4 linked regions of the Coturnix japonica genome follow. The protein of the gene in region 3 interacts with the protein of the main gene of each other region in a pairwise test. Links are inferred from orthologs where the notes say so. Each region holds a gene or a part of one and is shown on either strand. Other genes may lie near its edges.

The links.
Region 1: the proteins of TRIM37 (region 3) and FAM107A interact in binary tests that used the Homo sapiens proteins (3 or more experiments, as listed by UniProt). The two-hybrid records come from large-scale screens. The link is inferred for Coturnix japonica from reciprocal best matches to the Homo sapiens genes TRIM37 and FAM107A.
Region 2: the proteins of TRIM37 (region 3) and COPB1 interact in binary tests that used the Homo sapiens proteins (3 or more experiments, as listed by UniProt). The two-hybrid records come from large-scale screens. The link is inferred for Coturnix japonica from reciprocal best matches to the Homo sapiens genes TRIM37 and COPB1.
Region 4: the proteins of TRIM37 (region 3) and MCM10 interact in a two-hybrid assay, tested with the Homo sapiens proteins (2 studies listed by BioGRID and IntAct). The link is inferred for Coturnix japonica from reciprocal best matches to the Homo sapiens genes TRIM37 and MCM10.

The regions. Positions count from the first base shown.
Region 1 is NC_029527.1:9,364,278-9,369,137, forward strand, and holds part of FAM107A (actin-associated protein FAM107A), read right to left. Parts: intron 2,795-4,860; coding exon 2,620-2,794; intron 1,075-2,619; coding exon 918-1,074; intron 785-917; coding exon 677-784; 3' UTR 1-676. UniProt on the Homo sapiens protein: Stress-inducible actin-binding protein that plays a role in synaptic and cognitive functions by modulating actin filamentous (F-actin) dynamics. Mediates polymerization of globular actin to F-actin. Also binds to, stabilizes and bundles F-actin.
Region 2 is NC_029520.1:14,566,102-14,571,066, forward strand, and holds part of COPB1 (coatomer subunit beta), read right to left. Parts: intron 4,555-4,965; coding exon 4,394-4,554; intron 4,257-4,393; coding exon 4,136-4,256; intron 3,757-4,135; coding exon 3,529-3,756; intron 3,368-3,528; coding exon 3,188-3,367; intron 2,043-3,187; coding exon 1,898-2,042; intron 1,407-1,897; coding exon 1,287-1,406; intron 855-1,286; coding exon 709-854; intron 1-708. UniProt on the Homo sapiens protein: The coatomer is a cytosolic protein complex that binds to dilysine motifs and reversibly associates with Golgi non-clathrin-coated vesicles, which further mediate biosynthetic protein transport from the ER, via the Golgi up to the trans Golgi network.
Region 3 is NC_029534.1:5,928,734-5,933,698, forward strand, and holds part of TRIM37 (E3 ubiquitin-protein ligase TRIM37), read right to left. Parts: intron 4,628-4,965; coding exon 4,427-4,627; intron 2,944-4,426; coding exon 2,632-2,943; intron 2,199-2,631; coding exon 2,073-2,198; intron 1,584-2,072; coding exon 1,403-1,583; intron 750-1,402; coding exon 631-749; intron 1-630. UniProt on the Homo sapiens protein: E3 ubiquitin-protein ligase required to prevent centriole reduplication. Probably acts by ubiquitinating positive regulators of centriole reduplication.
Region 4 is NC_029516.1:5,990,990-5,996,744, forward strand, and holds the start of MCM10 (protein MCM10 homolog), read left to right. Parts: upstream 1-1,924; 5' UTR 1,925-1,970; coding exon 1,971-2,034; intron 2,035-2,225; exon of another isoform or gene 2,226-2,398; intron 2,399-2,595; exon of another isoform or gene 2,596-2,597; coding exon 2,598-2,648; intron 2,649-3,283; coding exon 3,284-3,604; intron 3,605-3,904; coding exon 3,905-4,009; intron 4,010-4,599; coding exon 4,600-4,734; intron 4,735-5,003; coding exon 5,004-5,178; intron 5,179-5,755. UniProt on the Homo sapiens protein: Acts as a replication initiation factor that brings together the MCM2-7 helicase and the DNA polymerase alpha/primase complex in order to initiate DNA replication. Additionally, plays a role in preventing DNA damage during replication.

The sequences.
Region 1 (4,860 bases), on a different chromosome or scaffold from region 3:
TTCTGTGTATTTTCTGCCTAAGCATGGAACAGAGCAAACAGCTCAACAGCTATTTACAAGCAGGTCTGAAATGCAGCTTAAAGATGCTCGTGAAGAATACGTGGCACCTGGCCTTCCAATGCTGAGCTGGTGTGGGCACTCAGGAGTTGATTTTTCTCATAGTGTGATAGCATTGTTTGTCTTGTGCGGTTCTGCAGTGCCAGTAACCCTTGGGCTGTTCCCAGTGATACGCAGATTGTCCTTTTAGTCACCACGCTGATTTGCCAGGAGATTTCTGGAGCTGCAGCCACTCCCCTGCTGCCCTGCTTGGTGAGCCCACCTCCAGGGGATGCGGGTTCCCCAGCCCATGGCAATGACCATCCCTCTGCTGACTGCCCTGGCTCACACCTTGGCCACATCATGAGGGTTAACCAGGAGTTAGCTGGATGTTAGTGTGCTCCCACAACTGGGGAGGAAAGGGACATTGCTTCGCTCTGCACCACCTCGTGTGAGGGCCTCTTCAGTAAATACTGCACCTTTTTGATCATGAGACCTTCCTGGGATGGGAAAACCTTTTTTGTGCCATCTACTGGAGCAAGTGTTAATGACATGAGTAGCCCCAAAGATGTGGCTGTGAGTGTCCAGCATGTACAGAGACATCAGCCTTGGTAGGATCCCCGCTGGGTTTTGGCAGAAGCTACACTGCTTTTTCTTCCCCAGTCACCGTTGATGTTCTTCTCAGATTTTCTTTGACTTTAATGAATTCTGGTGCATGGTCTTCCTGCTTCTCCTGCTCTTTCTCCAGCTGTAATAAAGAAAAGTCATTGTTATCTGTACATTCTAAAGAACAAAAGTGCATTATGTACCTTAAAACCCCTCAGCCACCCATCTCCAGGGTAGTTAGAACAACATGGGGGTGGCTGACAGCCTGATCCTACCTGATCCAGCCGCTGGTGCCTCTTCAGTAGCTCTTTTTCAAAGGGAGACTGCAACTTCTTGGCCTCTTCCTCTTCCTTCTTCTGCCTGAGGACCTGGTTTCGCCGTCGGTGTTCAAGCACCCTCTGCAACTCTGGCTTGCTGTCTACACTCAAGCCTCTGTGGACCAAAAGCAGTCAAATGAAGAGTTGCTCATTCACCTTCCCCCTGCCTGCCTGGCAGCCCCCAGAGCCTCCATCCCAAATGCTGCCACACTGATGTACTGTGCCTTTCTGTGCAGAAAGGGAAATGTGCTGTCCTACAGTGACAGCTCAAGCGGCACTGAGGGAGTTTATAATAATGAAGATTTTTTTCCACCAGCAGGGGTAGTCATTGAACTGCAGTAATTGTCCTGGCAGTTCGGCTTGCTCCAGAGCTGAGGGCTTGCGATCCCTGCTGTGCCTCAGTTTAAGCACTAATGTTTATCTCCTGCAGCTGACCCCAGCCACCTGCCTATCCTCTTCTACCCCCTAAATACATGTATGTGGCTGTGCACGTCAACAAACCTTTGCTGACTTCTGGGCAGACATCATTGCAGCCACAGTTTTGTGTTGCTGAACAAGTTATGAAGCAGAGATCAAGGCAGCTTTCAAATAGGTTACCTTCTAATAGCAATTGGAACTTAAGTAATTTTGGAAGAAGTCACAGAAGTAGTTGGCTGAAGTCATGTTTTTGAGGAGCTGAAGGTCGCATAGCTGCCACCAGAGCCTGACCTCACCTGCTGGGGGTTGAACATTCACTGCAGTCAGCAGGCTGAGGGTATTGGAAATCCCAGGGAAATATTTGGAGGAGAGGTGTTGTAACATGAGTGTTTCTGTGGCAGACAGGCCCTGGGCTTGACAGAAGGTAAAGCCTGCTGTGGCTTGCTGGAGACACAGAGTTTGCAGTGTTGCCTTTGAATTTGTTACTGCTCCTGGATTTAATCAGCCTGCCTTGTTAGTGCCCAGAGGTGTTGACTAAGATAAAGTTTTCTTGCACAAGCTGCTGATGTGAATTGCTTCCTGCTTCTGCCTAAGGGAGAAGGCAGAAATGGAAGCAAGCACAGATCCTCCTCCCTCCTCCCTTCAGTATGAACATGCAGCAAACAGCAAAGCTGCCGGATTTGCTGGTGACTTAGGGTTGCATACAGATGCTGTTCCTCCTTTCCTCTGGGAGCACTGTACCAACTTGCTGGCTGCCCTAAACCTGCTCAGGAGATGATAGCATTGATTGTGCCAGGAGATCCTGGCCAGTGAGGCTTTAACCAGGCCGTGTCAGAGTGTTTTAGGAATATCTGCCTGGTTCAGATGATTGCGTCAGTGCTGGAGACTGGCCTGGGCACAGTCCTTGTAATTCTCCTGCTTCTGGGCAGTGCCAGTACTGAGCAATGAACCCTGCTGGCAGGGTTGTTGTTGGCTGAATTAACCCTTGTGCCTGACCCTCACGATGAGCACAGTTGTTTTGAGCAGAGGCTCTGCTCCTTTTTGATTAGAGATCAAAGTGTGGCCGTGTCAAAGTGTTTTTTTAAGGCATTTTGAAAATGTTTGAAAATAATCTGTTGCATCAGAGAAGAGTGGTGGGTTGTACCCCATGTCTGTGTGCAAGTGGCAGGGTTTATCCCTCCCTCCAACCACAGCTGGTGGTGGTGCTGGTGCCGGGCTCCACACTGCTGTGACCTCTCCTCACCTCTTGTGGTTCATCAGCAGCTCTCGGTGCAGCTCCTGGTGGCTCTTGGAGGCTTTGACGGGGTTGAGGAGCTTTTTAGGTTTGATCAAGTCTGGGTTCCCATCTATGTAGTCCGGCTGACTCAGGATGCTCCTGCTGTCACAGTGCTCCTGCTGTATTTCTGTGTACATTGATGCTGGAAGACAAGAGAGGAGTTGGTGGGTGGGGTGCACCAGAGGAAGCCCACCTGTGCTCTGCTCCCTGGGTGAGAGCAGTTGCTTGGTGCACCTTTAGAAAATATTCCTTTTGGAGAGACACGTATTAATTAGATCACTTCTGAGTGACTTGCCAGCCACTTGCTTCAGTGGCTGCAGCGGTTGGTGCCAAGGACTAATTAACATTAGTTAGATGAGCCATTGCTAACAGCAGGAGCAGGGCTGGAGCTGCAGGACTTGGGGGTCCTGGGAAGTGCTGCTGTGGCTGACACCTCTCATCAGCATTAGGTTTTGCTGATGTTCTGCTGCCCTAAAAGTCAGGATTCATCCCAATACTGAGGAAAGCATAATTCACACTTGCAGCCCAGGATCACGCTGTAATAATTTGTGTGTTCTGCATGTAAGAACAAGGGCCCACTCTTTTCTAAGCCGTGGTGTGTTGGATTTCAGGCAGACTGCAGGGCAGGCTCAATGCTGCCATTCCCAAGTGCTCTACATCTCACCTTTGCAAAAAACCCCACACAAAAGGAGTGCAAAGCACGGATTTTAAGACAAGACTGCATGCTGTGGGCTGCACTTTAAGTGCAGAGTGCAGTTGTGCTGGCTGCAATTATGCCAGGGCATGGCCTCATCAGGGACTGGGAAGAGCCATTCATTCCTAAGGACTCACTCAATGAATTTGGGAGTTCAGTGGCAAGAACAAAAAGTACCAAAAAAAGTGTGTAGGCAGCTCCAAGTGCTCTGTTATTACAGTATTTTGGGGTACCTAATGGGAAGGCTTGCGGGTTGATGGAGCAGCAAGGAAAACAGCTTTTGTTCAGTAATGCTGTCTCCCTCTCTTATCGCAGTCTCATGTACAAAAGGAATAAAATCCTTTTAAAAGAGAAATCAATAAAATGAAAAGGAAAAAAAAAAAGCAAGTGAAAGCAGGCGAGGTCATTCTTTCTTAGGCAGTAAGTACTGTGCGAATGTAAAGTGGATTGCAATCAAACAGAATTGTGTAAGAAATCATACTGCTGAAGAAATGATTCAGTATCAAACAACTTCTCATTGAATGTTAATGTGGGCAGTGCCCTGCTGCTCTGGGAACAAAGGAAAACAGATTGGAGCCCGTTAAGAGTGTAATTGGGGTGAATAGTTCGGTACATATTCAAAGGGCGTGGGGAAGCTGGAAGCAGAGGCTTCCTGTACCAGGTTGTTTTCTTCCAGGGTGGCAGGTGCTGTTGGTGGGTGAAGGAGCTGATAGCTGAAGCTGTGCCTTGCCCTGCCAGTGGGGAGCGTGGGGGTGAAGGCAGCATGGTTTGATGGCTGATTGCTGCTCAATGAAAGCTGGCTTTGGAACATTGGAAAGTGAATCAGATGTTCACTGGGGTAACACTGCTGGAGTCCCTAATTCTACTTTGTCCCTTTTCTGGGGGTCTTGTTTTCTGTGGGGAGAGAGGTGAGCAAAAGGCAAGAAAAGAAGGTTCAAAAGCAAAGGGTTGTTTTGGTGTCAGTGAAATGGGTGAGCTCCCCTTTCCCTTGGCAAAGCAGTAGCTTTATTCTGCAAACAAAACAAAGAACTTCAAAGAGTGCTGGGTGTTTTCAATGGGAGCACTGCTGGCTGGCTGTGCTACAGGAGGTGATCTGGGAAGGAACCACAAACCTCTCGACAGGAACCCCACTTTAAATCTTCACAAGATGTTCGTGTGGAGCAATTCAAGGAATGTCTGCATTTGCATTGAGGGTAAAAAGAAAAATGAGGCCCGGAGCACTGCTTGGGGTTATGCTGGGAGTAAGGACGGGGCATCCTTTCTGCTACAGGCTGGCAGAGAGGGACCCTGGGCAAAGTGCTTCTCTCGCAGTAGATCTGTCATCTTCAAGACACAGTCTAATTCATGCCCATGTATAGGGAGACAGACTGCTATCAGGCTGCATTTTGTCATTATTTATAGTGCCGGCAGTGTAAATCAGGGCAGGTCTCTGCGGAGGATTTACAGCAGGATGTCTGGTTTTGCATGATTCGACCATAGATCAATGAACAAACGTCAGCTCCGGCACCTCCTGG
Region 2 (4,965 bases), on a different chromosome or scaffold from region 3:
TGGGGTGCATTAAAAAGAACATGGCCAGCAGGTCGAGGGAGGTGATCCTCCCCCTCTACTCTGCCCCAGTAAGGCCTCATCTGGAGTACTGTGTCCAGTTCTGGGCTCCCCAGTACAAAAAAAGACAGGGATCTCTTGGAAAGAGTTCAATGGAGGGCCACAAAGATGGTGAAGGGCCTGGAGCATCTCCCCGGTGAAGAAAGGCTAAGTGAACTGGGTCTGTTTAGCTTTGAGAAAAGAAGACTAAGAGGGGATTTGATCCAGGTCTATAAATATCTGAGGTGTGGGGGGCAAAGTGGTGAGGAGGCCAGACTCTTTTCAGCAGTGTGTGGAGACAGGACAAGGGGAAATGGACATAAGCTGGAACACAGGGAATTCTGCATGAATGTGTGCAAAAACTTCTTTACAGTGAGGGTGATGGAGCACTGGAACAGGCTGCCCAGGGGGGTTGTGGAGTCTCCTTCTCTGGAGATATTCAGGGCCCGCCTGGACACCTACCTGTGCAACCTGGTGTAGGGAACCTGCTTTGGCAGGGGGGTTGGACTGAATGATCTCTGGAGGTCCCTTCCAACCCCTACAATTCTGTGACCTGAATGTGGTTTGTATCACATGAGATAATGTTGATATAATGAGTTAGTGTGGAATAGGAAAGAGAATGACAAGTCATCCAACAAGAACCCCAAATAACATACGGAAAGTAAAACTAACTTTGTTTTCCCACTCAAATTCTGCCCACATCTGTCTGAACTCTGCATCCGTACAAGAGGCTGGCTGGATATAATCCATAATGTCAATGTGAATATCACTGAGAACCACGCAGTTTCTGTCGCTGGCAGCTCCAGAGACATCATACACTGCAATAAGAAATACAAACCACATGAATGCTTAGAAAAGGGACTGTAATAAGTAAGAGTATCCAGTTACCATTTGTCAGCTAACAGCTCAGCCCTGTGTTGATCTCTACCCTTTTCACGTTCTTTTCCCAAGTTGCCACAAAACTCTGAGACAGGTGTATTGGTTTTTCAGGCAATACTGCCTAAGGTCATTTACAGTTCAGAGACTTGGGTTCAATTATCAGGCTGACAACCACTCTGAAGGTAGTGTGCTCCACCAGGATTTTTAATTAAAACACAAATTTTCAGAAAGATCATCATTAAATATTCCTACATTGCAAATAATTTCATTTCCTTTTCCAGTATAAAGTGTATTACTTATTAATTCCTGAGCCCTCTGAGCAGTTAAGAAATACCCCTCACAGTAATCTGCACACACGGCTGTCTACTTACCGATATTGCCAAAAATGATTCCATTTTCTGTTGAGGCAACTTTGACGTTAGCTTTAATGTTTGCAAAGTCATGTGGAGCAAGAGTCAAAGGAGATGGTTTTTCTACAAGCTTCAAGTCACCTGTTTAAATAAATTTGGGAAAGGGCATCAGAGAATGTTACCACTACAAAACAGTTCCACTTTTGGAACATTTACTGCCTTGTGATTCAATTACAGTGCCTACACAGCTGCACTGCATTACTTCGTTAATTTTACATTAAAAACTTCAGTTAAAATACTAGTGTACTCACCCAAAGGATACAGAAAACAAATTGAAACAGTGACTTAAATGGGCTTCAGATTGAGTTTGGTATTAATTTTAACAAGCACAAAACTGTCACTTCTGCCTTGCATTTTAATCACTGCCAACATCATAACACCTAACACTACTGTTCTGTGCCTTAAAAACAAAGTTCAATGTCCGTATTGCATGTACTGAGCTATCTAAGAACAGGTCAAAGTACCATCTTGATTCTGAATCTTATTGCTATTTTCCCTACTCCACTAGGAAGAAATTGTAAGGGACTTCCTAGTTCTATCAATCAGTGCCAGGGCCCAGCAGTTCTCCTTACCCAGTGTGGCCAGCTCCAGTGTGCAGTTCTGCAGCGTATCACTGGTCTGGTTTACCACAAGCACATCCAGCACAATGTCATACTGGTTGACGTGGACATAGGCTTCTGCGTAAACAGGGTCTGAGAAACCCGTCAGCTGTGTAACCTGCAAAGGAAAAGAATTTAAGGTATTTTTCTCATAAGCCATTTCTAATAGGAAATCACAACAAACAATGCCAAAACAATAAACTAGAATTGAATTAACTGCCCTTTGATATGAGCCCTCAAATCAGAGAGAAAAGGTGTGTGAGGAAGCTTAAACTTCACATAACTACCTTCTCAGAAAGAGAAAAAACTAAACACTTCAGCCAAATAACACAAACTTAGTCTAGGAAATATTTAAGCGACATTCTGGAAAACCAAAGTCCATACTTCTTGCATAAGCTTTCCAAAACCAACAAGTTCTGATGACTTATAGCTAAATCGCAGTGATCCTCCGTATTATGTACACAAATGCATTTTTAAACCCATCCTTTGTTCAGCTGTCCCTCTGCACACATACTACAATTTATAAAACCTTTACAGACAGAACATTTTCTGAACTTAATTTATCTAAGATCCCAAAACATTAAATAAAATGCTGCATTATTCTTAAAAAGATTCAAATGAAAAATAGTGACTTCAAATTGAAAGGTAACTTTAAACACTAACAAGAACGTATGCAGACTTTAAGAATAAGAGTCTGTTTTCATAACTGAAGTTCAAGAAGTGTTTGGACGACACCCTCAGAGACAGGGTTTGATTTTGAGGTGCTTCTCTGCAGAGCCAGAGGTTTGGCTCAATGATCTTCATGGGTCCCTTCCAACTTGGTACATTCTGTGGTTTTATGAACCTCTTGGAATGTTCTCTGCTAGTTTTAATAACAAGCAGAAAAAAAAAAGACAAATTGAAATAAGATGCACTACACTTGTCAACAGGATATGGCAGAAAAGGTCCTTCACTTGTGACATCCCTGCTCTTCTCATAGCGAACTTTATTGAGCTCTTCAAAGCACCATACAATTTCAATTCCTTTTCTGCATGCCACCAGCTTAGCACCCTCAGTCTCCATACCACTCTTCTTTCCTCACGATAAGGGAATAATAAAGCACAGTAAAGGTTTTTCTCTCTTTCTTTTCCCCATCAACAAACATATGGGTCTTATTAATCAACCAGCATAGCCTGATTCATTAGTTCCAGTATGCATCTCCCATCGTTGATTCAGCACATAAGCAGAATGAAGAGTATATAACTAAGAGACTGATTACCTTACCTTATTAAGTTTGGATGCAAGAGGATCAGCAGCTTCTTTTCTCTGCGTGTTTCCCATTGCTGCAAGAAGGCTGAGCTGAAACTGGTCTTCTTTTGAGCTCATTTCATTTTTAGCAGTAAGCTGCATGAAGGAAATGGGATCATCCGGCTGGACCGTCACGTTCCTTTTCTCTGACTCTTTCTGCAGAAAAAAAATATCACAGTTAATTCTCTCACTTAGAACAGAACACATAATGACTGAATCAGACATAGTCAAACAGAGACATTTCTAGGACCTGCTTGGATGTGAACAACACTAAAAGAACTCCAAGGGTTTATGACTACACATTCATAATATCTCACCTTCTGGGAAAGCTTCTCTTCTTCCAGCTTGGCTGACAGCATATGAGAGAGGGACTGCCTGCATTCTTTGTTGAAAATATCATTCATGAGTGGAGAACATTCTGACAAAACTTTCAGACACAGGGAAATACGATCCACATCGTCATCTGTAATGGGCTTCTTGGGAAGAGAAGACTTTCCCAAATGGAGAATAGTGGCCATCACCAGCATAGCTTCAGCAATAAAGGACTGAGAAGGAAGACAAAAGAAACTGAATGAAAGGACGTTACTGCATTTTTAAAAAGCCTCAAAGAAATGCCTATTACTGGGGCAAATTCATCAAATTCATAGAAACCTCTGGACATTTTATTTTAAGTCAAGAAACAAAGCACCAAGAATTCAGAGTGTTCTGATTCAGTGGCTGAAAAGCAGCAAGCCCTATTTGTGACCCAAGTTATTATTAAACAGCCCTGTAACTGGCATTTGGCTCAGGACTCAATCCATTTTATATCTGCTTAAAAACCCACTGAACAAAAAGAAAAAAGCAAACTCCACTAACAGACAAAAACACCCAGCCCACCAACCAGCTCTTCTTCACAACTACAGTGAAAGCACAGAGATGACTTACGTTTTGCTTCTTCTTTTCCTGAACTAGTGACACGTATCGTAAAGCAATCTTTGTTAAAGTGGTAGCAAGGGAAGCAGCGACAAAGAAATCCCCATCAAGCAGGAATCCTCGCAACGGAGGCCTAAAAGGACAGACAGTCATCAGAAACCTAGTTCAGAAGATACTTCAAAAACACTACATTGACCACTCAACTCTCCATGACAGAGAACGTCACTTAAAAAAAAACTTTTACTAGGTCTAGTATGAAATCTTAAATACCTGTCCTCCTCCTTTTTGGTGGGCCGGGAACTACTCAGAGCACTCTGGGTTGCATAAGTACCCATCTCTGTCACCAGTTTCTGGACTGGGCCCACGGTCACCTCTTCTTCAGGTTTTAGCTCACCAGCTTCCTTCTTGATTTCAGATTCTACAATTGGGATCTAAACACAAACACATAGATGTTCAGGTACATAGAGAAACCTCCTACAGCTGTGCATAAAGCTCATGACACTGCATACAGTGCTTGCAGAGCTCCCAAGACTTAAAGCACTCTTCATTTTTAGTGCATATAGCTATGGTACTCATATGTTCAAGTTGACACAGTGTTCTGAAACAAGCAATTTTTCACCCACTCTCCTAAATCTGAAGCATTCTAATATTTATTCTCAATACATGCCAGTTTCTACTTAAAAATAATTCAATACTGAATGCAAAATCTACTTTTTGCTTTTGGCTTCTTGCACACACAACATTACAACCGTTCAAAACTCTGTATTGCATTTTAATTGTTTTAAATCCTTTCTTTAGTACAATGTATGTAGTGAGATAAACCACAAAAAGTTAGAATAACA
Region 3 (4,965 bases):
AGCAAGATGAGAAAAAAAAACTCTTCTACGTGGACTTTCAAAAAGAATGCCAATAATACTTTTTTCCAGCATGGAAAAGATGCAGGAAGGGAGTGGGGGAAAAGTTTCCTCTGGGTCTCTAAGGAAACCAGATTATGTACCACAACACCCAGTACAGTTGGGCTGCTGAAGGAGGGATTCCAGTGCAAATGTGGAGGTAGTTACCACTGTGGTGTGTCCCTGAAAGCAGGAGACTTTAAAGCCAAGGTCACTGACCACTGGTTTAACTAGATAAGTTGTTATTTTCAAGGTCATGATAAAAACCAGCACAGCAAGAGACCATGAGGTACATTGAGAGGTAAAGAGGCAGGTCCAGAGAAGCAGAAGGCACCTTGTCACAATATCTGCTAGATCTTTACATTCATGCTGTAACGTAATATCACTATTCATGGACAGCAGTGGCAAGAGATACTCCCCTCTCATTTAGATTTATACCACAGTTGCTAAACGCTACAGCAAAGTTCAGCAGCCACGGAAACAGCTGCTGTTTTTTCCTCCTTTCCCCTTCAAGCTACTTCCATTACAGAAATAAATGATCACAGATCGGAAGCATTGTAGCACCGCATCCACCCTTCACAACATCCAGGTTACCTTCCTCTGGTCCTGCTGAAGCACCCTCAGGAAGCACACCCTGCAGCTCACCAGGTTCAGAGCCTTCATCCAAACTACCCAACTGCGTCCCCTCCGTGCGATATCCTTTAGAATTTGATCTGAAAGAATTCAGGAGACAGACAGAAATCCACATTAGGAACCTGGCTTTCATACAGCTCTGGATAAAAAACCAAACAGCTCCTTTCGGTGCCACACATCTTGTTCAACTCATCAAGTTGTATCCACTTCCAGCTCTGACTAATTTCAAAGTACTTAAGAATTTCAAAAAACCCCTCAAGGTTTAAGGTGAAAATGTATTAAAAAAGTGATTTTTTTTCCCCTGTTGTTACGTAGAATAAAATGTAAGTACTCCATTGCACTCGGCTTAGTTACACAACAGTTATTATGAAACTGCTGAGAAAGTCACAGTGAAGAATTTTCTCTGAAGAAACCTGAAGTGGAAACCTTCAGAGAGATGATATTATGGCAAGGAACAGAGGGACAGGAGACGGTGCCCACCTTGCAAATCAAAGCAGCAGACTACATCAACGGCTGATCAGAATGAAAGAGAAGAAAAGTACAACTTGTGCTCAGGTTACTGAGCCAAAAATTGATACCCATATGGAAACACAGCCACCAATTAGGCTTGGAAGTAATTCCTCTTCTGTGTTACAAGCACCTCATTTCAGCAGATTCGTATTTTTTTCCTCACAGATCAAGGGAAAGGAGAAAAGAAAGGACAAGATGAAGGAGGGAACACACAATTCCTTACCCCAGAGCACCAGCTTTTCTGGTCTTCTCCACAGCAGCATTTAAGCCAGAAGCTCCCACATCAGAATCTGACCCTTCACAAGGCCTTTCCTCTGGCTTAGGCAGTGCCTCGGAAGCATTACTGCTGACCAGGGGCCTGGGACAGTGATGGCGACTGCTTGACTTTGAACTCCCAACTCCACCTGAAAAAAGAAGGAGAAATGCTCAAAGCACAGCACACTTTAAAAAGAATAAATCCAGTCATTTTATATCACTGGTGCATTTCCAGACGTGTACAAGCACATCCTCCACTCCAACCTTATGCTTTCTAAGCATCGCACAAGATGCACGTACCGTCTGTGCATGCTCTGACCACACACACAGTCTCTGTTTCCCCATCTCATGCAGTTAAAGTTCACTTTCTAGTAACACAGACACTCTCTTCACTATTTTTCCCAGCTACAGATGCAAGATTGTTTGGCAGCAGCAAAGCAGCCACTCATGTTGTGGATGAGGCTGCACTCAGGCACAGCAGCACCCACAGCAGACCACTATCAGAGCTCTGTGCTGGTACAGCAGCATTAATTAGGCTTGCAAACAGATCGAGCAGAGTTTCAGGCAAACTTCAGTTACAACATCCACTTCTGTACAACAGATACAACACACCTCACAGTACAGAGGACCTTGCTTACCTTCACAAGTTTGCCCGTCCCCCTTTAACCGAAGATTATCCCCACAGTCCATAGCTCTTCGTAGAGACAGACTCCCTGCTGCTCCAGAGCGAATAGGTTTGGGTGAGTTACTCTTCTTACCCGCAGCTGCAAACACAGTAGAAGTATTTAACCAGATTGCCTGCAGCATTCTGTGCTCATTTTAAGGAAGTTAATGACCAATGAGACTAACATGGAGCTTAACTACCCATCGTGCACACAACTCCTCCACCCTTCCTGTCAAAAGACATAGGACAGAGAAAAGCTTAAGTAAGTTGGGAGCTTCCAGCCCCCAAGCTGGAAGGTAAGAAGGCGAACTAAAATCACCTCTGTTTCACCTCTGCTGTTTGTGACTTCTCAGATTCACTGTTCTCTGAGCTTGTGGCAGTGCTGCAGGAACTTATCTAAGTGTAGGAATGGAGGAGTGATAACTGGAACAGCAAAATACCAAGTTCTGCTGTCACCATGTTTCAATGCAAGTCATAAGATTGCTCCTATTTCACAGAGCATCCATGTCCCAACTCCCTCCGTGAGTACTTACAACTCCTTATGTAACAACTGGTCACTGAAGACTTGGTCAGCAGCTCCATTCCTATTTCTTGCAGCTTGCTGCAGCTGTCTGTTCCACAGGCAGCTAAAGCACCTTGCTCAATGGAGAAGAAGTTGGGCTGCCCATCGCATGAGCCAGCATTGCTGCTCCTTACTTCTGAGAGTTGGTTTTTTACATCAGACATTTTGCTTCGTACTTCAGCCATCTGAGTTTTAAGTCTCTTCAGCATCTTCAAGTCAGGCGGCACACGCCACATCGCCTGGTGCCTCCGCAGGTCTCGATCCTTTAAGGAGTACGATGATGCTTTACCAAAGAGAAGAGTTGAAGAACAACAGGTAAGTAAAACTGTCCTCAGATAAAAATGGACGTTATTTTTAATAGCCGTAAGAATTCTACCTTTTGCCCTGCTGTAAATACAAGGGATAAGATGCTTTCTTTCATACTCCTACAGCACTTTAATTTAGGATGCTGGTATTACACAACCAAGGGACAACAGATTTCTATCTGCCTGAGGAAGGGCATAGACCTTGCTCTTTAAAAAGAGCAGGAGCTCTGATACCATGGCATAAATTCTGATGATAGCTGAGCTCCCTTATACTGCCAGATAAGCTTGAGTTCATGAGCCCGGCTGCCAGTTAAAATGTCAAATTTGTTACGTGTTTTCTATAAAGCGTGTTAAGAGCTCGTCTAAGATTCCCATCCCACCACCACCTCACATTACCACATAAAAATCAAAGAAATCTGGAACTAGGGGAGAAATTCCCTTAAGTACATAAAATTGTGCCAAAGAGCCAATACCTGAGAAAATCTGCATGCTGCTTACACAGAAATCGATCAGCTTTGATGTCTGTTTGAAGTGCTGTAAGTTCTATAACTGTTTTATTGCAAATTCAGCTCTTCAGAGTTTTTAAAAACCTTCAACTTAAAAAGTGAGGCTCAGCAAACTCCAAATGTAACAGCAGCTTTCTCTTATTTGCATGACTTGTATAAGACTTGGGAACAGCCAAACCATACATGTACCTCAGCAGCGGGTAACTCCAGCTGCAGCCAGTAGCTTAAGATGATCAAGAACCCATTAAATACAAAAGATGAGCCTGATCTTGCCTAAGTATTACAGCCCAAAATGCAGCATCTTCTCAATTTGAGCTGTTGGTTTTCATCATTCTCCTGCTTGAGCTTATGTCTCTTTTGCCCCCCAATTGCTTTTTACAGTTTTCCAGTTCAAAGTGCCTTTCTCATATAGAAGTAGATTCCAGGATTTACCTCCTCATTCACATACTGTGCTCCCATCCCAGTACTCTCAACCACTAAACGTACAAACTGTGTGAAGCAAGAGCTGTAACTGCGTTTCTCAGCAGATAGCTGTTTTGAGTTGTTTCGTCTTCCAGTGCTAACCCCTTCTATAAGAGGGCCTTTCATTCATCTCCCACAGCGGCTTTGAAATGAACTGCATGAAATGCATCACTACAATGTTACTACACAAAACAGCCAGCCAGATCAGTCACATCCCCCAAGACAAGACAAGACAATACTCCCTGATAAACACTTCTGTTTTCAGTTGAGTCATACAGCGTTCTCATGCTGAGGTCACCCATCAAGACAAAGAACGTGTTAAGATGCAGCATACTGATGAGCACAGATGAGGATATGAAAGTTTAGCTATCAGGGAAAACAACGGCCCTTCATTCTCTTTTTCCCTGTCCACAAACCTACTTCTAACTCTGGCACTGCATTCTCAAGAGACACTTCCAGTTTGGAATGAAATTGAGATCTGATGTACAGTTACCTCTGTTCTGTAGAAGAGAGGCAGGTGGACGTGGCTGGAGGCCCCAGAGGTTCTCCATACCATTTCTGTCTTTCAGATCCAACAGGTGGATTAAAATCAAGGGATCAATATCAAGTAAACTGCTGCTAGCTGCTGAGCCCAGGGCGCTTCCTCCTCGCCTTGAAGGTCTTCCACTTGCACTGGTGTAGCCATGGCTGGTACCTAAGGAAGAGTTATGAGGAAATAGCATGCATTTAAATGACAAGAGTTGGAAAGTTCATGTAGATGAGGCATAAAAGCATTCTAAGAAGTGTAACAAATATCAGTATTATTTCATGGATTTATGTTCTGAAAGCAGTCAGATGTACTTCAATAGTCTTTAAGCAAAGTGCCACCACAGGAAAGGAAGGGAGGGGAAAAAAAAAAGTGTTTGGCTCATATCTTCCATGTAAATCTCTTAATAAATAGATTGAATAGATCAATTAACAAATCAAAGAGCATTTATTCTCAAGGCACGCACATAAACTTCCTACTTTTTTCACCCTTCCCATTAGATTTAT
Region 4 (5,755 bases), on a different chromosome or scaffold from region 3:
GTATCATGGATTTTCAAATCTCAAAATAAATCTATTACAATTAGAAAATTATCAATGCCTCTTAATATTTTGGATGCTGAAAGGGGGTTGCTAATACCTGTGACTGGAAAGCTTGTGTAGAAAGAATCATAGTGCATTAGTTCTGTTCTTGTCCTCACTTTGGATCTCAACAGATAACAGTTCTTGGCATGCTGTTACACAAGGGAGGAAAATACACAACTCTTAACAAGATATAAACAAGCATGATCAGCTTATGATACAACTGCAGTAAGCAATGGTGTTTGTCATGGAAGCTGAGCTATCTCAGAAGAGAGAGGAGCTCTGGTTTGGGGATGGCACAACACAACAGGGTTCATAGAAAACTCCACCAAGCCTCGGTTTCAGACAGCTGCAAGGGAAGGTAATGCAGGGTACTCTTAAGGTAAAGATGTCAGGCTGTGTGGTGAAGTCCACTGCTATCAGCAACACCTAACACAGCTTTTCAGATATGGGAGGAGAAATGTTTTATAAGTGAACACTTGACACTTCAATACATTTCTGTTACTCTGAAGTTCAGACCAAAGTTAAAAGGATGACACATGGAGATGCATGTGCAGTAAAAGTAATATATATAGCTTATGTCATCTTGCGATCTTGAGCTAAGAAGAATGGAACAACTCTATAGGAGAAAGCCTTAGGGATGCTGGATACCACAACTGAATGTGCACTGTTACAGCAGATATTCTGTACTGCTACATGACAAATTCCCCTGTCAACCTGCTTCAATAAATAAGCACTTCTCTAAATTGTCCTGCGGATGATGGAGGAGAAGAAAACGCTGAACAGATCAATAGTGGAATTAGAAATAAAAAATTCACCGACTGGGTATTTTGCTTCAGACCTGACAATGAAAATAGTCCTGAGCTGATTCATTCCAAATAAAGCTCTAAATACTGTGAGATTTATATTTCACTCCGAGCAGATTAATATTCTTAAAATACACACACAAAAAAACAACACATCTGTAGGTGTTCCTTGGGGCAAAGAAAATATTCCTTCACTCTATTTTAGTGTGTGAAGGCAAGCATTTCTCATGCCGTGCTGTCAGTGAACTCTCAGCTACCAGTAGCAAGAAAAAAACATCTCTTTATTGCCCTAATAATTAAAGCAAAGATTTGTCTTTATTGTTGCAGTTGTCACTATTGTTCTAATTATCTGCTGTAAGCTGAATGCCTGCTTTCTGTTAGCTATAGCTCACGCTCCCACACAGCTTCATCCATAATTTCAGCTAATGGAAGAGCTGCCTGAAATCTATTGTGAGGAGATATTTGTTGGCTTGGTTGCACCCTTCTTCATCAATTACAAGCACTCCCAGAAGATGCAATCTCTTATTGACTTTTAATTAGTTCCTCACGACAGCAGGATTTATGGGCTTTTTTTCCCCTTGCATCCAGTTTTATTACGGGAGCTCTGCAATAGTTATAGATTCCGCAATGATCAAAAAACTGATGGAAATGCTACTAGGCCAAAATCAAACTAATAGAATGACAATAGAGCTGATTTCATCTGAGTAGCATTAACCTTAATGGAAACATAGAAAATCGATGTGAAAGGCCAAAGGAGGAATTACTTATACATCTGTCAAGCCAAACTTAATCATTTTAAGAGGCTTCAGTCAGAGAAGGATCTGAGCACAGGAATACCAACAGGAAGACATGGGTGTGAGCTGAGGTAGGTCTTCATAGAAAGATAAAATCTAATACTGCAAATTCATGACGTGAGCTCACCCTCCTAGGAGCAATTTGAGGTGATTTAATTCACATTACAAGGGGAAATTAACAATTGAAAGAGACTAAAACAGAACGCTCGCCTACCATCAGGGCTCTCAGTCTCCACAGCATCACTGTGGAGAAACAACCCGCAGCCAAGATGGCGCCCGCGCCTCCAGCACTAAAGATGGCGCCGACGCAACGAGCGACGTGACGGCGCGCATGAGCGAGGAGGGCGGAGCGGGGTTGGAGTTTTGGCGGGTGCTTGGAAGGCGGGAGGCGGTGAGTGGGACTGTGAGGAGAGCGGGTCTGTGTGTGAGGGGAGATGGGGGCCGTGTGTGAGGGGAGATGGGGGCCGTGTGTGAGGGGAGATCGGGGCCGTGTGTGTGAGGAGAGCGGGGCTGTGAGGAGAGTCGGGCTTTCTGTGAGGGGAGAGTCGGGCTTTCTGTGAGGGGAGATGGGGGCCGTGTGTGAGGGGAGAGCGGCCGAGCCTTAGAGGGATCAGGGTTGAAAGGGAAGGAGGTTAATGGGATCGCGGGTACGAATGGAGAGGATCCCTTGAATGTGGAGATCGGGCTGAATGAAGAGGGAATCCTTTGGTGGAAGAAGGAAGGAGGGATCCCAGGATGGGGGGCTGGGATCGGCCTGTGGTGAGGATTTATTCTCCATGTTGTGCCCTTGTGCTGCATTTGGCTCTGATCAAGGCAGGCTGCGCGTGTGGGAATAGGTTTGTGGATTAAAGTTCTTGTGGGCAGCTGTGGATGGAGAGTGTAGTGATCTACTGAGGGTGCTGGCCTCCGTTTGTAGGTGATCTCCATTCCAATGGTATCCATTTGTTCTGTGACAGAGTCTGTTTTGCCTCGGGGGGCTGTGGAAGGAATCGTGGTGAGATCATGGATGGTAAGGGATAAAAGCACTGCCCTACTTTCAGTAGGGAAGCTTTCTGACCAAGTGCAGAGAGCTCCATTAGCCTCTTAACAAAGGAAATCATATTGTGCTCCCTTTGGCTGTGTCTGTTGCCTTCATCACCCTCATCCTCTTGTGAGGCTGCATTTGAGTCTTCCTCAGGGCCAAAGGCTGAATACCTTTCTCATGTTGCTCTATGTATGTATCTCCGCTCTGTCTGTCCTGTTCCTCTCCCTGTTTTTAGAATCATCAAATCTTTTCAGTTGGAAGGGACCTTTAAAGGTCATTTAATCCAACTCCCCTGCAATGAACAGGGATATGCACAGCTTGATCAGGTTGCCCAGGGCCTGATCCATCCTTGTCTTGAAAGTCTTCAGGGATGGGGCATCTAATACATCTCTGGGCAGCTTGTTCCAGTGCCACACCACCCTCACTGTAAAAGACAAGGAAAAAATCCAACCTACATCTACTCTCTTCAAGCTTTTTGACCTTTTGCTTCATGTTTCTCTGCTGCTCTGTTCACTTTCTTGAGCAAAAAGCGTATTCAAGACAGTGACTTGAATGTTTGATTCTGTAGCAGCTTTCCTCTAAAAGGATAGAAGTAAAACCGAGTTTAATTTCTACTTCAGGTGATGAAGATTTGGATCTGTTGGTCTCCCTCCTGGCGGAAAATGAGGGAGCTGAAGAGGGGAATTCTCCTGAGGAGGAAGATACCTCGAAGACTGAGAAGGGAGAACCAGATGAGTATGATGAGCTCTTTGATGCAGAAGATGATGCATCATACACTGAGGAGGTGGACGCTGACAACAGCATAATTGATGAGGAGAAGGAGAACCTGGCTGAGCTGTTTGGAGATGTGGATGACCTGCTGGAAGAAGAGGAGGCAGAAAACACTGTCACAGCTTCAGTTCCCAATCAGGGGGAAGAGAAAACCAATGAAGAATTACAAGGTTTCTATTACAGCATCTTTTAAATGGTCTTGTGTTCACTAGAGAAGATACACGCAACATGTCAAGGAATATAGCACAAAAAAGTTAAATATTGATATAAGTCAGCTCTAGGCTGCATGGAAAGCTGTCCCTTCCCTGTGAGCCATGTAGAATCAGAGCTAAATCTATCCTGTAGCTCTAGTCTTTTTGTTCCTAATCTGTGATGTAGTAATACTGCCAGGCTCCCCAGGATTTTGTTAATCCCTGTTTACTGTGGCTTTTACTGCTGTCCTCATTATTGTCCTTTTTCTTCTTTCTTAGCTGAGCTGAGAAAACTACAAGAGCAGATGAAGATGTTGCAGGAGCAGCTGCAGAAGACGGCCATTGGGCAGCAGTCCAGTTCAGGCCCTGGGCAGAAAGCCTCTGGTAACAAGACTAATTAAATGAGTTTCTGATTTGTTAACTTCCCAATGTGTAAATTATAGGCAGATGATAATCTGAAGTGGGAACTGAGTAGCAAAAAGGAATGATGGTCTGTTATATTCCTGTACAGGTTGTTTCTTTCAGTACAGACTAAATGGTTTTGTTATTGGCATCATGGATTGATTGAAATGGGGCAACTTCTATGACTGTGGTGCTCCAGTGTTCTGCTGGAAAAGGTTCTTTCTTAGTAGCAGATGCTGGTGCACTCAAATGTTGCTACACCCAGAAAATACAGCCGTGTTCGTTGCTGATGCACATTTAGTGTAGTAATAATGAAACAGGGAAACTGAAAAGCAAAGACATGTTCCTACTTTCTACAGCTTTCTGGCTTCAGTGACATCAAGAGTTTAAGGTCAGAAGGAGTAAGAATCATTGGGGCTTTCCCAGATGTTGCATGTCACATGCTGGCAATTAAGAGTTTCCATGTGGGACCCTGACTTGGATTTATTTGAACAATTACTCAGTTTGGAGTAATGTTTAGTATGTGAGACTGGATCCTGAGATCTCATAAGTGCTTTTGTTTTCCTGGCTAGGTAAATCTCTCTGTCCACCCTTAAAGGAAAGGAAAGCTCAGAAGCTGCAGGAGTCACCGTGTTTCTCAGCCCAGCTGGACAATCCTTTACCAGCAGCCAAGAAAGGAAACCAGAAATCAAAAGCCTCCCCAGCAGGTATGGTTCTTAGTGAGCCTTCACTGAGACACACTGGGCTTTGCTGAAAGCCTACATAGTTCACAGCAGCAGCATGGACACATCCAGGGCAGTATTTATATTAACCAGTTCTGAGCTGACTTTGAGATCAGTACAATATTAAGACAGTTATAGACATTTTATTCCTCGCTTGTGCTGGACCCCTGTGTCCAGTCAAGTGTAAGTGAATGTTATGTTGAGTTATAGGTTTTCTTTATCAAGATTTTATTTTATTTTATTTCCTGCTAAAGAGACCAAGACTCCTCCACCACGACAAGTCCTCAGTCTGGCATTTCAGCCCCTCACATCTGCCCCGGGGAACACACCCAATAAGGTGCCCAGAGAGAAGACTCCTCACGTGTCAACATGCTCCAGTACAACACAGCAACCCGTATCTGTGGAAACCTTCTCAGGACTGAGATTGAGGTCAGCAGCCCAGCACTGACCCCTGCATGGGGAGGCTGTGCTCAAGTGGTGGGACTGAATGCACTGTGATGTGTTAACTGCACAAGTGGTGAGCAGAGGACTGTGGTTAACACAAAGCCACAGCATTGCCTGCTTGCTTATTAAAATCTGTAATTAAATAAATCTGTCATTTTATTATCGCTGCCTTCCCTGACGTATCCTCAACAATGGGCACAAACAAGGTCTCATTGGGCCCCAACTGAGGAGATTTGGTTTCACAGGTGGAAACCTCGGGGAGCATTCAGAATTCCCATACTCCCCATGGCCACGAGAGGTCTCTGAACACTCACTGTGCCCTCCTCACCAGAAATCATGCTGGATTTCTAGCATGTTTCCAGTGAGTTGTGATACTCAGTCCTTCCTGAAGTGAGAAGCGTTACTGAAGGCTCAGAGCTAAGTTGCAGTGCAGCTATTTGGACAAAGAACAACATGTTTGATTTGTAGCTCTCCGATGTTTGTACAGCATTTGGAACAGAGGGGTTTTGTTTCAAGTGAGCTCAGGGTGAAATAAGGCACAAAGGCATTTTGCAGTGAAATA